Yarrowia lipolytica: one gene and its partners. The protein of the gene in region 4 purifies or fractionates together with the protein of the main gene of each other region. This does not show direct contact. Links are inferred from orthologs where the notes say so. Each region holds a gene or a part of one and is shown on either strand. Other genes may lie near its edges.

Region 1 (3,783 bases), on a different chromosome or scaffold from region 4:
TTTATTCTAATATACGGATTGTAGATTGTGACCCTTGAACACTGTAAGACCAGGGTCACAAATCATCTACAAGTAGACGAAAGAAAATTGCTCAGAATGGAAATATAGATACACAATTGTGTGGCTCTCAGCACAAGCATCATTTTGGTGTATATATATTTACAACTTTCTATACAAAAAGTTGAACTAATCGAGTACAACGGAGCCAAATGAAACATACTACAAGTACAGTACTTGTAGAGATAATCCTTGATCCAGAATCCAAATTAGGTCACGTGACCACATAAAAATGTGTCTAGGATCGCTTCACTTGCCTATCTACAACTACTCACACATGTTCACACCAAAGATTGTTTCAATTGATCAATAAATTACTTTTACATGTTTGGCAGGATATGCTCATTCATTTCAAATTAACTACATGCTTGTGAGAGCGTAGTGTATGCGGTAATACATACGGTACTCTGTTTGCTGTCTCATAATGCACACACGAATGCCTCCTGTCTCCTGTACGGTTGGGCCCCGGTTAAGACATAAACGCATCTGGGGGCAACGAGCCTCCCTCCTGGGCCTGTTTGAACAATGCCATGGTCTGTTCCGGAACAAATCCGGCCTGCTCAGCACACATTCGCGCGTACCTTGCATTTAGACGGGTGGCTTCCATGAGCTGTCTGACAATGAGAGCCTGATCGGGGTTGAGACCGGCAAAGTCGTCCCCAGGAGCTCCACCAGTTGCTCCAGTCATGGCTGCACTGGTCCATCCGTCTTTTCCGGCGTAGGATCTGACCATGAGAGTATCGGAGGCGATGATCATACTTCCGTTGGGGCCAGGGAGAAGCACAAACGTTCTGTCGAACGACCGGGTGTCGCTCTTGTTGCCAATAATGTTTTCCTCGTACTCGCCGTGCACAGACGCAAAAATGGCTGTGTCTTGCGGCTCTCGCACACCATTGAGAGTCCATGCGTCAATGGCAAACTTTGAGGGGTCTCCGAGATCGTGTTTCGTCTTAGGCAGGCGAGTAAAGGCTCTTCCAATCTGTTCAGGACCCACATAGAGTCGGTTGGTTCGAGCCGAGGCTGTGGTCACCTTGGTCATGTTTCGTGACAGCGGAATGTATTGGCCCCAGGGAGGCTGACCGAGACCCTTGACCATTGTTCGGGGTGTGTTTGAGCAGATGGCGACCGAGAAAGTCGATTGTGGGTCGTACAGCTGCAACAGCTGCTGTCGGTCTGTGTCGTAGAGCTGGAAGTAGTTGGCGAGAAAGCCGCCGACCATTTGCTGGATGTTGTCATTTTCAAAAAACGTTTGCCGTAGAGGGATGGGGTACTTGACTTTTCCAATCTGCGACTCGTCTCGAATCACATGGCTGTCCAGAACAATGAGCCTGGGGAACAGCTGCGCCACCTGCTGCTGGTAGTCGGGTTGGTTGGTGATGGGGTTGCCCACAAGGACCAATTCTCGCAGCGACTTGAACTTGTGTCTCCACGACTCGAGGTCGGTGATGCGGGCAATCTGGTTGTTGGCTAGCGACAGATTCTTAAGCTCCGGATACGTCTGAGACAGCGTCGTGATGCCGGCAATGTCGCTGATGCTGTTGTGGCCCAGATCCACCGAGTCCACCACGGGGTAGGTGTCGCCTGCAATCTTGAGCAGCGCCAGAAACATCTTTGATCCTCGCTCAGTGGTGGCCAAAAGGCCATTCTCAATCAGATACTGGTCCTGGCCCATGCCTGCAAGGTTCAGCAGCTTGTCCTCGGCGCTGTATCTGCTTTCAAGGAACCGTTTGAGCGTTTCGATCGTGGACTGCGCAGCAGCCGAGGGTCCATCTTTGACTGTGATTTGCAGAGCCTGGCCTGCAAACCGGCGCCCGGACCATTGTCCAATCGCACGGGCGTCCGTGTTTTTGACTCGGGCCTTGATCACGTCGCCATCCACGTACGGGTTCTGCAACCGGAACCCGCCCTTGTCCTGGAGAAACCGTACAAGATCGTCCTTAGGCGCGTTCGTCCACCCTCGGACCTCAATGTCCGTCAGATTGCTGTTGTTGCTGTTGTTGTTGTTGTCGCGGCCGCCGCTATTGTTGTAGCCGCCTCGGCCTCGTCCGCGTCCTCGATAACTCATTGTTTGTGGTGGTACTGGTGAAACGAAAATGAAAATGCACGCCAATTTAAAAAAGTGTAGTTTTTGCTTGTGCATGAGAATCGAGACCTGCGCCAAATGTCCTTGTAGAAGCAGTGGGACGTGTCTAGAGTCAAAAGAGGGATAATAATTCAGCTATTTGACGCTTGAATATCAAGGGTATCAATTTTCACGCCCAAAAACAAACATTTCCCCAAGTAAAAGATCAGTTTCAGTTTCAGTCTCCACTAGATTTAAACTCGTAGTTGAAATATTGTCAGGGTTAACCAGAAAAAGAAAAATAAATAAAAATAAATAAAAAGAAAAACAAAAAAGTCGAGAGAGAAAAAAGCGAGAAAAAAGCGAGAAAAAAGCGAGAAAAAAGCGTGAAAAAAGAAAAGAATGCAAGTTGAAATATGGCTGATAACGCGACGAGCTGATAAATGTCCTGCTCTGAATTAATTGAAGAGAATACCAAATGGGTGGTATAACTCGAAGACTTCATTATATAGCCATACGTCAACCATAGTAAATGTAAATACAGTACAAACCTACATACAGTTGTAGGGTTCACACTGTACTATACACCCACTATCAAGACTGGACAAACTCCGTCAAAGTTGATCCGGTTCCAATAAAAAACTCATAAGGAGAATAAGTTGGCCATTTCAAACAATAAGATACCATATAACCCTGGAAAAGTTCGCTCTCCAGGTCTCCATCACTCTCCCTATACACACTCACATACTCGTACTAATCCAAATTCAAACCTCCTCGGAAAAGTCAATCAATCACGCTGGAAAAACACCTTATGAGATGTGATTCCTACGTCAAAAACACAGGTTAGGACTGTTTCGTCGTATTCCATCCCCGCTGCATGACTCGCAAATTCGTCCTGCTCTCGTCTTTTCTTCAGACAGCAAAAACTTGCCCATCTACAAGTACAGTACAGTACAGTACAGTACATACATACATACGCGCGCGCCGCCATTGCAAGCAGGATGAAGAAGAGGAGGACGAGGAGGACGGAACGGCGTGGAGATGTGGGGCACCTGGTCTACAAGTGCGGCCGTAATGTGTTATACATTTGGTCACACGACTTCCCAGACCCGGTCATGTCACAATTGATTCTCAGGAACTCGTGTTTTCGCCTTCTGTCCCCAGCTCCATGTCCATCTGAGCTACAATGAATAATAAACTGAACTATATAAATTCACACTTTTTTATATTTTATATTTTTATTCCACCCTGTTCTTGATCTACAATGCAACCCTTACCCTTGAAAAGTAGTGTGCGATTGACCACAGTATAAGGGGGAAGGAGGGAGCCTCAGAAACAAACAGTCACGTGAAATCAAGTCACGTGACAATACACATGACCAAAAAAACAACAACACCGCCTATTCCCATAAAATTACTCCAGTCTGTTCGCCATTTCTACTCCTCCTCCACCTACTGTATCTACTTTGCCAAACCTTACTTTAACTACACGTCACACTCCCAACCACAGTTGTCATCTACAGACTGTACATCACACATCTTTGGTTCTTTCCACAACACAGACTCAAAAATGCCTTCGTACTCTTATGACGAAGAGTCGGACGTGTGGCCATACTTTGCGGTCACGTTGGGCTCACTGGTGCTAGTCCCCTGGACTCTCAGTGC
Region 2 (4,942 bases), on a different chromosome or scaffold from region 4:
TCATTGGGGTTGGAAACCTAACCCTCGCGAGTTGGGAGAAAAACGTGTGGAAAAATTACAAACTCTATTGGTGGAGAAGGGGGTTTAGGGGATTGAAGAAGTGGGTCTTGAAGCGTGGTAGAAGGTTTTAAAGGTGCTATACTCAGTTCTACTCGTTTATTTTATATATTCCTTTTTTTCAAATCTCAAAAATGTTCAATATTGGGCTAGAATGAAAGAATATTTTGAGACCCCCAGACCCTTATTTCGTACTTGAAGTATGCAGGAGTTAGTTGGGTGTTCTGGACTTGATCTCAACAAACGGAATTTTTAAAAGGACTTGGATAGAGGGGAGAATATGTCACATCACACAAACACTACAATAACGGCTTACTTTGAGTATAGAAAATAACTCACTCTATTCAAACTCCCTTAATAGTCACTCAAATCTCTTAGAATACCCTCCCGCTCTTCGTAGACAGCCACTTATAGCCACCCCAATTACACCCCCATCACGTATGGACGTCCTTCACCGTTTACTGTAACCTCCCAACTCAAATTATTTTGTATCACCAAATTCAAGTGGCACCCAGACTTCCATCCACAACAATGCAGTCATTAAAAGGACTTAGGCCGCAGATCTCGCGCGCAAATCCACTCATACACCACAGCTTCTCCCGCTGGACACGATCCAGTCATTATCTAACCTCCGACACTCAGCCCTCATACCGAACTCGACTTTCGCCTCTGTCGCCAATCAAAGAAATCCTCTACTCCGATGTCCACTCGTTGCTGGAACTCAAGATGGTCACAATCGACATCGAATCTGTACGCTACGTTCAGGATTTCATCGGACCCAAATACGAGCTTCCTGAGGCTGTGATCAGAGAGCTTCTGTGCATTTCACATACGCTTACACCTAGCGCTCAAAGAAAGGGCACGCCGTTTCAGACACAAAAGACCCACATTGAAGACACACTGGGATACGGAGCTATCAACTCGCGTGTTCTTTTGGGCCAACATGCATACAAATTTGCTGTTTTCAGCTACCTGACAAAGGTACCCAGTTGGAGTCGAAAGAAGGCCAACCTGATGAACTTTGACATTTGTCGAAGCGGCCTGGCTGACCGACTTACTCGTGACGAGACCCTGGTGCTTGCGTTTGTCAAGAACACGAAACTCATCAAGTCGCTATACGTGCCTCTTCCGGAAGAAAATGCCAACAAGAGACAGGCGTTTAGGAAAATGCATGATACTCACTATGCCACCAAGATGCTGTTTGCGCTAATTGCAAGTATCCATATTGAGCATGGTGGGGTGAAGGCCGAGGAGTTTGTTCATGAAGTGATTTTGGAGGGCTACATGACTTCTGGTTTAATGACTTTGGTTTAAGGCAGTATTGCGTTGAAGATGTCAAAACTCATAGAAACAAACGGCAACGAGCAGGCTGGTAAATCTCCATCTATCCACGGGTTCTTGTTGAGTTGGCCACTAGGACATGTCCCAGACCGAGCCTGAACCGATGGATCTGGGTATGAAACACCTACTTGTAGGGGGACAACAACGATCGGCATGAATGGAACACGACGTGACGGGTAATAGCCACAACAGCAGAAAGGGCTGCACTGTAAATAGACAAATTGTCAATAGTTATTTATATTCAATAAAAACTTGTATACAAAAGGTAGCTCACTGTCGCTATCATTCAAAAGGGCATACCCAAATAAGCTCCATAGCGGTCTATTTATTGACTGGACGTGCAAACAGAGTGTCTTCACAACAACAGTATGTAACTCATCCAGTTTCTTTCAGAAGAGATCGATTGTTTTTATATTAGTAACTAACTAGTGGTTTAAATCACATTACCTTGTTCTCAAACTTTTATCTCTCAAAATATATAAGTAACACGATACAGACGCTCTATCTCGTCCATTTGGAAGCAGATTCGATTTTAGATAGCTTCGATCAATTTTTGAGCTCAAAAATATTCCTATTTGACACCAAAAATGTCTACTATTCAACCTCATCTCTTCCCATATCTATCACTGTCCCACCCCGCCTTCATCAATAAGCTCCCTTTAGCTTGCATAATTTCATGCACAATTTTTAATTTTCTTATCATCATCACCATGGCGCCCAAAAGCTCGTCTACCAGCAAGAAAAAGTCGTCTTCGACCAAGGACGATGGCGAGGTGAAAGAAAAGCCCGTCAAGATCCCCGATCTGTTTATCGTGCGTCCCCAGGGAGAGACCCAAGCCGCCGTGACGCACAACAAGAACATCTACAAGGTTGGATTGCATCCAAAGATTCTCGAGGCTCTGGGTCTCAATAACAACGAGTTTGTGTCTGTGTACCGTGAGGGTGATCGGGGAGTAGGAGGAACCGTTTGCGCCATCCCCGAGGCTGTGGAGGACCCCGATCTTGTCGACATCAACGTGGTTACCGTGAGTGCAGGACTCAAGGACGCAGGAGCTCTCCTGTTTGGAGATCGAGTCAAAGTGGAGAGATATAAGACCAAGATGGACATGGCGAGTTTGGTCAGTGTGCGGATAAACACACCCAATTCCCCTGAACAGGCTGTTATTGATGCTACAACTACCGATCTCAAGAAGCTGGCCATGGTGTCTCCAGGACTCAGTATGGAGGTGAAGATCGAGTCTGGCGAGTACGTGAACGTCACAGTGACAGACGTTGGCGACACAGATCTTGGATCCTTATCACTGGAACAATCTGAGCTCAAGAACCACGTTTCATATTGGTCTCCCTTGTTTCTGCTAGAAGATACACAAGTGGTTGTGTCAACTCGAAACTGCTGGGAGCTACCCAAAACTACTACTTACAAGTCCATCGGCGGCCTGGATCAACACATTGTGGAGCTTAAATCTACCATCGAGCTTCCTCTGCATCATCCCTCTCTGTTTTCGAGGTTTGGCATCTCGCCACCTCGAGGAGTGCTTCTTCATGGACCCCCTGGAACCGGAAAAACTATGCTGCTGCGTGCTGTTGCTCAGGAATCAAATGCACACGTACTCACAATCAACGGGCCATCCATTGTATCCAAATACCTGGGCGAGACCGAGTCGTCCTTACGAGCCATCTTCGAAGAGGCTCGAAAGTACCAGCCAGCTATTGTTTTCATTGACGAGATTGATGCTCTGGTACCTCGACGAGACGGAGACGAGTCTGGACAAGCCGAGTCTCGAGTTGTCGCTACTCTACTCACTCTGATGGACGGTATGTCTCAGTCTGCTTCTGCCAAGATTGTAGTTGTGGGCTCCACTAACCGACCCAACGCCATTGATCCTGCTCTGCGACGAGCTGGCCGGTTTGACAGAGAAGTCGAAATTGGCATTCCCAACGCTGAGGCCCGACTGAGCATTTTGAGCATCCAAATGGCTGATATGCCTCACAATATGTCCGAAGAAGACATCCAGTACATTTCTAGCATTACTCACGGCTATGTCGGAGCCGATCTGAGCGCTCTGTGTCGAGAAGGAGTCATGAACGCCATCAACCGAGGTCTGGAGGAGCATGGCAGTGCTTTGAACGCTGTCAACTCCGGTCTGGAAGTCACCATGCCTGACCTTGAACGAGCTCTGCTGGATGTCAGACCATCTGCCATGCGAGAAATCTTCCTCGAGAAGCCCTCCACCACCTGGAGTGACATTGGAGGCCAGTCTGGAGTCAAGGAGAAGCTCAAGCAGATGGTCGAGTGGCCTCTTACCAAGGCTGATACTATGAAAAACCTCGGAATCACACCCCCTAGAGGTGTTCTTCTGTACGGACCCCCGGGATGTTCCAAGACTCTCATTGCCAAGGCCCTGGCCAACGAGTCTGGTCTCAACTTCCTGTCTGTCAAGGGCCCCGAGCTCTTCAACAAATATGTTGGAGAGAGTGAACGTGCCGTGCGTGAGATTTTCCGAAAGGCTCGTGCTGCTGCCCCTTCCATCATCTTCTTCGATGAAATTGATGCTCTTAGTACTGCTAGAGGACATTCTGAGGCAGGCGCTGGAGGAGAACGAGTGCTCACGTCTCTGCTTACAGAAATGGACGGTATCGAGTCTCTCAACGGAGTCATGGTTCTGGCTGCTACTAACCGACCTGACGTTATTGACTCTGCTCTCATGCGTCCTGGTCGTCTGTCCAGATTGCTGTACGTTGGACCTCCTGACGAGCATGCCCGCCAGCAGATTCTCAAGATCCGAACCAAGAACATGTGCCTGGGCTCCGAGGTGGACCTAGAAGAGATCGCCAAGACAACTGAGGGCATGACCGGTGCCGAAATTGTTGCTCTCTGTGAAGAGGCTGGTCTGTACGCAATGTCTCAGGACGAAGATGCCAAGGAGGTGACCAAGAAGGACTTTGATCATGTTCTCAAGGGAGCTCGAAGAGGAGTGACCGAGGAGATGCTCAAGTATTTTGTTGACTGGGCTGAGGGTAATTCTCCTGCTTAAACATTCGAAAAGGTAAACATAAGGAATTGCACATAGATAAGGATAGAACGAGGTTATAATGACGGTATATAGGGAAGCAATTAATATATGGCATGCTAGACATCAATCGATTACACTTCAGCTTGCATCTTTCACTGTCGGTATGTGTGCTTTTAGTGAATTTCAAATCTATGATTAAATTACATGGCATGGCTATTAACGTATGACTGAAAGTAGTCTCACCAATGTTTCCCCTTCCATCCAAACCCCTTACTGGTTCTGTGATTAACGTCTCACAATGTTGCTCTCGTTTTCAGCACTATTCAACAGAACCAGTGCTCGTCCTCCTGCCACAGCCACCAAATCGCCCTTGGCTCGCACGGCTGCAGCTTCCACGCCAGAAACGAAGTCACAAGCCACCTCAATGGATTTCTCTGTGCCCAGCGAGTAAAATAAAGTCTTCTTGTCGCTCACCACCACGGCAGTGTCGTTACTGACGCAGAACACAGCGCCACTCAGCTGCCGACTGC
Region 3 (3,011 bases), on a different chromosome or scaffold from region 4:
GGTCAAGTCAACAAGCTTGACCGCTTTACTTGGATTTCTCATGTACATTTCAACAATCACTGATCTCATGACTTCACGATACAACTCATCTACAGTAGTATTTATCATTAGTGGCTGAAGCTTGGAGCATTTTTCAACGTGGGATTTTCTTAATGTAAGAAAACTACTGTACAGAGGTGACTTCAAGCGCGTGTTTCTAAGGAACGTCTTACGTTATTTCCATAAGCAGTGTGTGACCACTGAAGTACATCGGAGGAAGACAATTACAAAGACATTCGTTATAGTACACTGTCATACCACACCCTACTCTCATTACAAGTACCGGTACAGGTACACAATCCCACCTTGGCAGCTTGTATTATCTATCTAATTAAAACTGCGAATAGTGCCATGCAAAGGAATACTGATCCGTTGGAGACACACCCATATTTTGAAGTCAGGCCATGCCAAATACATAATGCATAATAGTTTAAGCGATGCTCGCTGTTGAGTAGAGCTCGCACTGCAGCCAGCACACCAGTGTGTTGACGAGGAGAAGCAGACTGGCTGTGCTTAACCCATCTGCTGGTACAGCTGGGACCACTTGGTCTGCTCCCACTGCTCGCCCTGCTGGTCGTTGTTGAGCTTGAATATACTGCTCATGACAGTAAGCTCGAAAGAGGTGGTGGCGTAACCAGCAACGGCCATCCAGTCGTTGACAACACAGCCAGCGCCGACAACAGGAGAACCTCGGTTGACGGATCCAGCAATCAGGGGGACCTGGAGAAGCGAAGAAAGCTCATCCTGGTCCTCAATGGAGGTCTGGGGGTGGACAATACCTCCCTGGTTGGACAGGGCACAGTAAGAGCCGACAAGCACATTTCCAGCAACAGTCTGTCGGAAGACCTCAACACCAAGCACATCGGCAATCAGCTCTTCGGTCTCTCGCTCGATATCGGGATGCACAAGAGCGGCGTAGTCGTTGGTACAGATGACGTTTCCAAGAGCAGATAGACGCTCCTCAACTCGCTGGATCTTGACCTCGTCGGGCAGGGAGTTTCGCAGGTGCTGCAGCTCAACATCCGAAGTGGTGGAGGGCACAAGCAGACCTCGTCGGTTGCCGGCTGTGAGACGGCCCACGAGTCGGGTGCCGCCAATGGTGGAGTAGACAATAGGAATGGTATCTTGGAGCTCGGCCTCGAAAGAGCTGTAGAAGTTCTCGGAGCCGCCAACAGCCACCAGACAGTAGGAGTTGGTGAGCTTGGAAAAGACACCAATCTCGTCAGAGTTTTCAAACTGGGCACGGGTAGCCATTATGTTGATTGATTTTTTTGAATAAGGGGTGAAGTGTGGTTATTCAGGCTTGCGGTGGATACTGCCTATCTTTATGTTTTGCATTGCAGCACAATTTTTTCATGACCGTGCAGCTCAGCTGCGTGCTGGAGTATACTGTGACTGATCTCGTCAACGTGTAGTTCTTGTCATGTCATACGTGCAGACAGTATGCAACTGTGATGGGCCGGTGGCGATATATGTGTAGATTGTGTGTGTGTCTTGCGGCAGGCTGTTTGGTACGTATGGTGGCGGATCGTATTCATGTAACAACAAGATAGTCCGACTGTTTGTGGACTCATACTTGAATTGAATATCGACTTACTACGGAATATATTGTAATACCTCCATTGGCTCAGACTGTGATCGGAGATTGACTCAGTTAGTAAGCAGACCAAGGGTGGGGCGAAATGTCCCTTTCAGAATATTCGGTTTTACTCTCATTTCTTCTATCATTACCCACCACAGTTCGTGTTACTGTACACACTACTGTAGAGATACAGCGATCCATTTATACAGTTAATTCATTATTTTATACAATATTTAGCTACCTCCTAGCAAAAAATACCTTAGTCGAGATCCATCTCGTCGTCAAAGTCATCGTAGGAATCTTCAGCCAGCTCCATGTCCGTCTCGCCGTCATGGTTGGGCAGAATCTCCAGACCCTTGTCTCCTCGGATGATTCGGACCTCCTCGCCGTCCTTAATCTGGTGCTTCAGAAGCATGACAGCAAGCTTGTTGAGAACCTCGTTCTGGATGAGTCGGTTGAGAGGTCGAGCACCGAGGTCGGGGCTGTAACCGTTCTCCACCAGGTAGTCCATGGCGTCCTCATCGAGATGAAGTTTGAGGTTTCGGTTGTTGTGCTCGAATCGCTTCGAAATCTCATGGAGACGAATGTTGATGATTCGTCGAATGGACTTCTTAGACAGCCGGTTGAAGACAACCATAGCGGTGATTCGGTTGAGAAACTCGGGTCGGAAGTGGCCCTTGACAGCCTCCATGACCAGGTCTCGAGTGGACTGGTCAATGGTAGTCGAGGTCGATCGGTTGATGAACTCCGCACCCAGGTTGGAAGTCATGATAATGATACAGTTGGATGCGTTGACCACCTTTCCGGCGGAAGATCGCACTCGACCATCATCAAGAACCTGCAGAAGAACAGTGAGCACCTCGGGAGCAGCCTTCTCAACCTCATCGAACAACACAACGGAGTAGGGCTTTCGGATCAGGGCCTCGGTAAGAATACCACCCTCCTCGTATCCAACGTATCCGGGAGCAGCACCAATCAGCTTGGAGCCGGAGTGCTTGTCCATGAGCTCGGAACAGTCGATTCGGATCATGGCCTGCTCGTCAGCAAACAGGAAACCTGCCAGCTTCTTGGCAAGCTCAGTCTTACCGGAACCGGAGAGACCAAGGAAAAGGAAAGAAGCGGGGGCGTTGGGGTTGGCAAGACCCGATCGAGACAGTCTGATCGCGTTGGAAACGGCCTTGACAGCCTCGGGTTGGCCAACAACTTCTCGAGAAAGCACCTTCTCCATGTTGATGAGCTTGGTGTTCTCGGCCTGGGTCAGCTTGGTGACAGGGATACCAGTCAGTCGAGCCGCAGTCTCAGCTACCTGGTCGGCGCCAACAACGTCCTTGATCATGGACTTCTCCTTAGCGGCATTCTCCTCTTCAAGCTCAACAATTCGCTTCTTCAG
Region 4 (2,738 bases):
GCAGTTCTTCCAGGCACCGGAAACAATATCCAGAACTCGTCATCTTTCTCGAATGTCTCTAGCAAAAGTTATAGACACATGGAAAAAAACGCTCAACATACACAACTTTGCACGGTAGATGTGCTACAGAGCACTCAGAATGATGAATGAAGTTGGAATGGGCTCTTCAGGTCCTGATTACCACCATCTGAGAAACCACCTATAGGTATTCGGCTTTCTGTGAGTTCGCTATCGTTACAAAACTCACTATCTGGTGTCCATCTGCTGCCAATAGCACTCTGTCCGAGGCTCATCGTAATCAATAATATATTGTCTATCATGGCCTATCCATTTCTGTTAATAATGCTATTGTCATAATCCATTTGATCCAGCAGTGAGTGATTTCTAAGTCCCATGCTACATCCCTCGGTCCAGAGAGATGGAATTGAGTAATTTGTGAATGAATGATTAGTGAATGCCGTGAAAAATGGCTGAATGACTGAGTTGTTTCGAATGACTAGCATCCAACGAACATCACAAATCCTCGCAGGCTCAGATTCCTGTGATTTTCTAAGCCTCCTAAGCCATATCCTCATCCTTGGTCTCGGGAATCACCCCTTTGTCCTCCTCCTCGGCCTCCTTTTCTCGGGCGATTCGCAACGCCTCCTGCTCACGAGCAAAACTGCTTGCCGCCTTGGCCTGCTCCACCTCCTCAAGACTGCCACGATCTGTCAACATGGTGGTCACCTCCTCCTCATCCAGACGCTTCTTATCAACATCATTTCGAGCCAGGTATCGCGCCACATTGTTTCCAGCAGCCATATTGGCCTCCTCCTGGGTGTATGGCACCTCGCGGATCTCCTTGAGCCGTCGTTTGTGCACCTTGCCCCGGATGTGTGTCTGTTTGGCAAACTCGGTTTCGAAATACCGAGCGCACGGAATACAGTAGAACTGCGCCAGTCCGGGCTTCTCCTCGTCGTACTCCTGGTTGTGCAGAGCCTTGATCGACTGCGACGTGTTCATGTCGTCCCGCAGAATCTGGTCCAGATCTCGGGTTCGACGTTTCGTCTTGTACATCATTCGCGATGGTCTTCCCATGGTTGTTTCTTGCTTTTTGTGTCACTAGAGTCGCTTGCGGTGTGGTGCGAGAGTGTCGATATTTCCGTATGCACGTTTACAGATTTTTTCTACTTAGAGTTTGGAGTTTAATAAAATGGAAAATGTTTAAATAAAATAGATTTTTTTGGAAAATGTTAAAATATTTTTTGGAAAATGGATTTTTTTGACAAAATTGAGAAAATCGAGAAAATAGCCAATTTGAATAATTGGACGACTTGAGGGACGGTATATGACGGTTTGGGCCATTATGTGTGCACCTGCGGTTTCAGTTTTTCAATAAGGACACTGGTTGAGCTGGGATGAGCACTACAAGTACAAGTACGAGTACACGCCTGGTTAACCGGGTTCAATGAGATGAATATAAAAGATAGGGAGTTTCAGAAAAGTGCATTTTGTTCTCAATAACGACTTTACTTTGTTGTCCATTCTTCGTTTCGACACTGTTTTATGGCGTCCATTGGAACGTCCTTTTTACACGCACCAGACACAAGGCACCAGGCTCAATACCACAAGTACGAATACGATACAAGTACGAACTATACAAGTTTGTGGTGTTTGAATTATTCATCCTCTTTTCATTGATCTATTACATCTTTTACCTCTGTATAGATGGTCTTGATTGTTTTTACTATGTTGATCATTGGAGATTTCCTCGCAAACCCCCCACGAGCTTCTCAGCCAGATTCTGGTCCACCTGAGTATCGTAGTCACGAAAGGGATCAAGAGATTGTTGTCTGATTGGATGACCGTTATTGCGACTCCAACAAGTATTACGAGAAGTCTGCGGTCTTGTTCTGTTCATGGTCCCATTCTGGTCAGAGTCAACAGACGAGATCGGATTGCTCTGACACCACTAGAGATGGCAGGGGTGAGAAAAAAACGAGTTTGGCAATGACCGATAGATTACTAGTTTGGTTTACTCTTGCCTCGGTAGATTCGTACATTGGCCATAAGCCCCTTGGATGGAACAAGTACCAGCGGCTACTACAATCTCACATACTCCATTGCACGGAGGCCCATTGTGAACCCATTGTGAGAAAGAGCTGTTCAGAGTGGGCAGCACAAATCACCAGAGTCGTGCCAACATCTCTGTAGTTGATCCAGGGCCCTTGGAGGGTGTGTCTGTCCCTGGTAACATCAATGGAGCGATAGTTGAGTAGCCAATCTCCAGTAGCTCAGATAACGCTATGTATACTGAGTAAATGAATTGCATGTATGAGTTCGATGGACCTCATTGACGCCATTTCTGTCTGGTTTCGCAGCTCTGGGGTATTCGCAACGGGAGCCCTACTGGTCACTTGCCTCGATCTCTGCCTCGATCTCTGCCGTGACCATTCATAAATGGTGTCTCAATGGGTATGTTGGAGTCATATCGCACTCCTACTCGGGCTGATACGATCGTCTTTTTGATCAAATGTTTAGACAAGACGAGCATCCAAACCCGCCATCAGATCCTTCTCAACTACAATGCGGGAAGAAGGACCTACATAATGATACAATGAATCGAATCCCTCTTGTTCAGATCGACGATGAAAAAAAAAAAAAAAAAAAAAAAAACTATTATATAATATGGAAGCTCGGCAATTAACTGATTGACGGTCAACTCGACCATGCGCTTCCACAATTTCTGCTTGTGACAA

What was found.
Region 1: the proteins of YALI1_D16206g (region 4) and YALI1_A18286g purify together in Saccharomyces cerevisiae (affinity purification with western blotting; 4 studies listed by BioGRID, with this or other methods). This does not show direct contact. The link is inferred for Yarrowia lipolytica from reciprocal best matches to the Saccharomyces cerevisiae genes BUD20 and MEX67.
Region 2: the proteins of YALI1_D16206g (region 4) and YALI1_E08021g purify together in Saccharomyces cerevisiae (affinity purification with mass spectrometry; 4 studies listed by BioGRID, with this or other methods). This does not show direct contact. The link is inferred for Yarrowia lipolytica from reciprocal best matches to the Saccharomyces cerevisiae genes BUD20 and AFG2.
Region 3: the proteins of YALI1_D16206g (region 4) and YALI1_E33024g purify together in Saccharomyces cerevisiae (affinity purification with mass spectrometry; 4 studies listed by BioGRID, with this or other methods). This does not show direct contact. The link is inferred for Yarrowia lipolytica from reciprocal best matches to the Saccharomyces cerevisiae genes BUD20 and TIF6.

What each region holds. Positions count from the first base shown.
Region 1 is NC_090770.1:1,827,006-1,830,788, reverse strand, and holds YALI1_A18286g (uncharacterized protein), read right to left. Parts: upstream 2,198-3,783; coding exon 527-2,197; downstream 1-526. Other genes in the region: YALI1_A18273g (uncharacterized protein), read left to right, coding at 3,494-3,783. UniProt on the Saccharomyces cerevisiae protein: Involved in the export of mRNA from the nucleus to the cytoplasm.
Region 2 is NC_090774.1:799,185-804,126, reverse strand, and holds YALI1_E08021g (uncharacterized protein), read left to right. Parts: upstream 1-1,985; coding exon 1,986-4,433; downstream 4,434-4,942. Other genes in the region: YALI1_E08035g (uncharacterized protein), read left to right, coding at 589-1,371; YALI1_E07984g (uncharacterized protein), read right to left, coding at 4,698-4,942. UniProt on the Saccharomyces cerevisiae protein: ATP-dependent chaperone which uses the energy provided by ATP hydrolysis to generate mechanical force to disassemble protein complexes.
Region 3 is NC_090774.1:3,301,099-3,304,109, forward strand, and holds YALI1_E33024g (uncharacterized protein), read right to left. Parts: upstream 1,294-3,011; coding exon 553-1,293; downstream 1-552. Other genes in the region: YALI1_E33056g (uncharacterized protein), read right to left, coding at 1,881-3,011. UniProt on the Saccharomyces cerevisiae protein: Binds to the 60S ribosomal subunit and prevents its association with the 40S ribosomal subunit to form the 80S initiation complex in the cytoplasm. Is also involved in ribosome biogenesis.
Region 4 is NC_090773.1:1,619,573-1,622,310, forward strand, and holds YALI1_D16206g (uncharacterized protein), read right to left. Parts: upstream 1,078-2,738; coding exon 559-1,077; downstream 1-558. UniProt on the Saccharomyces cerevisiae protein: Involved in pre-60S ribosomal particles maturation by promoting the nuclear export of the 60S ribosome. Involved in positioning the proximal bud pole signal.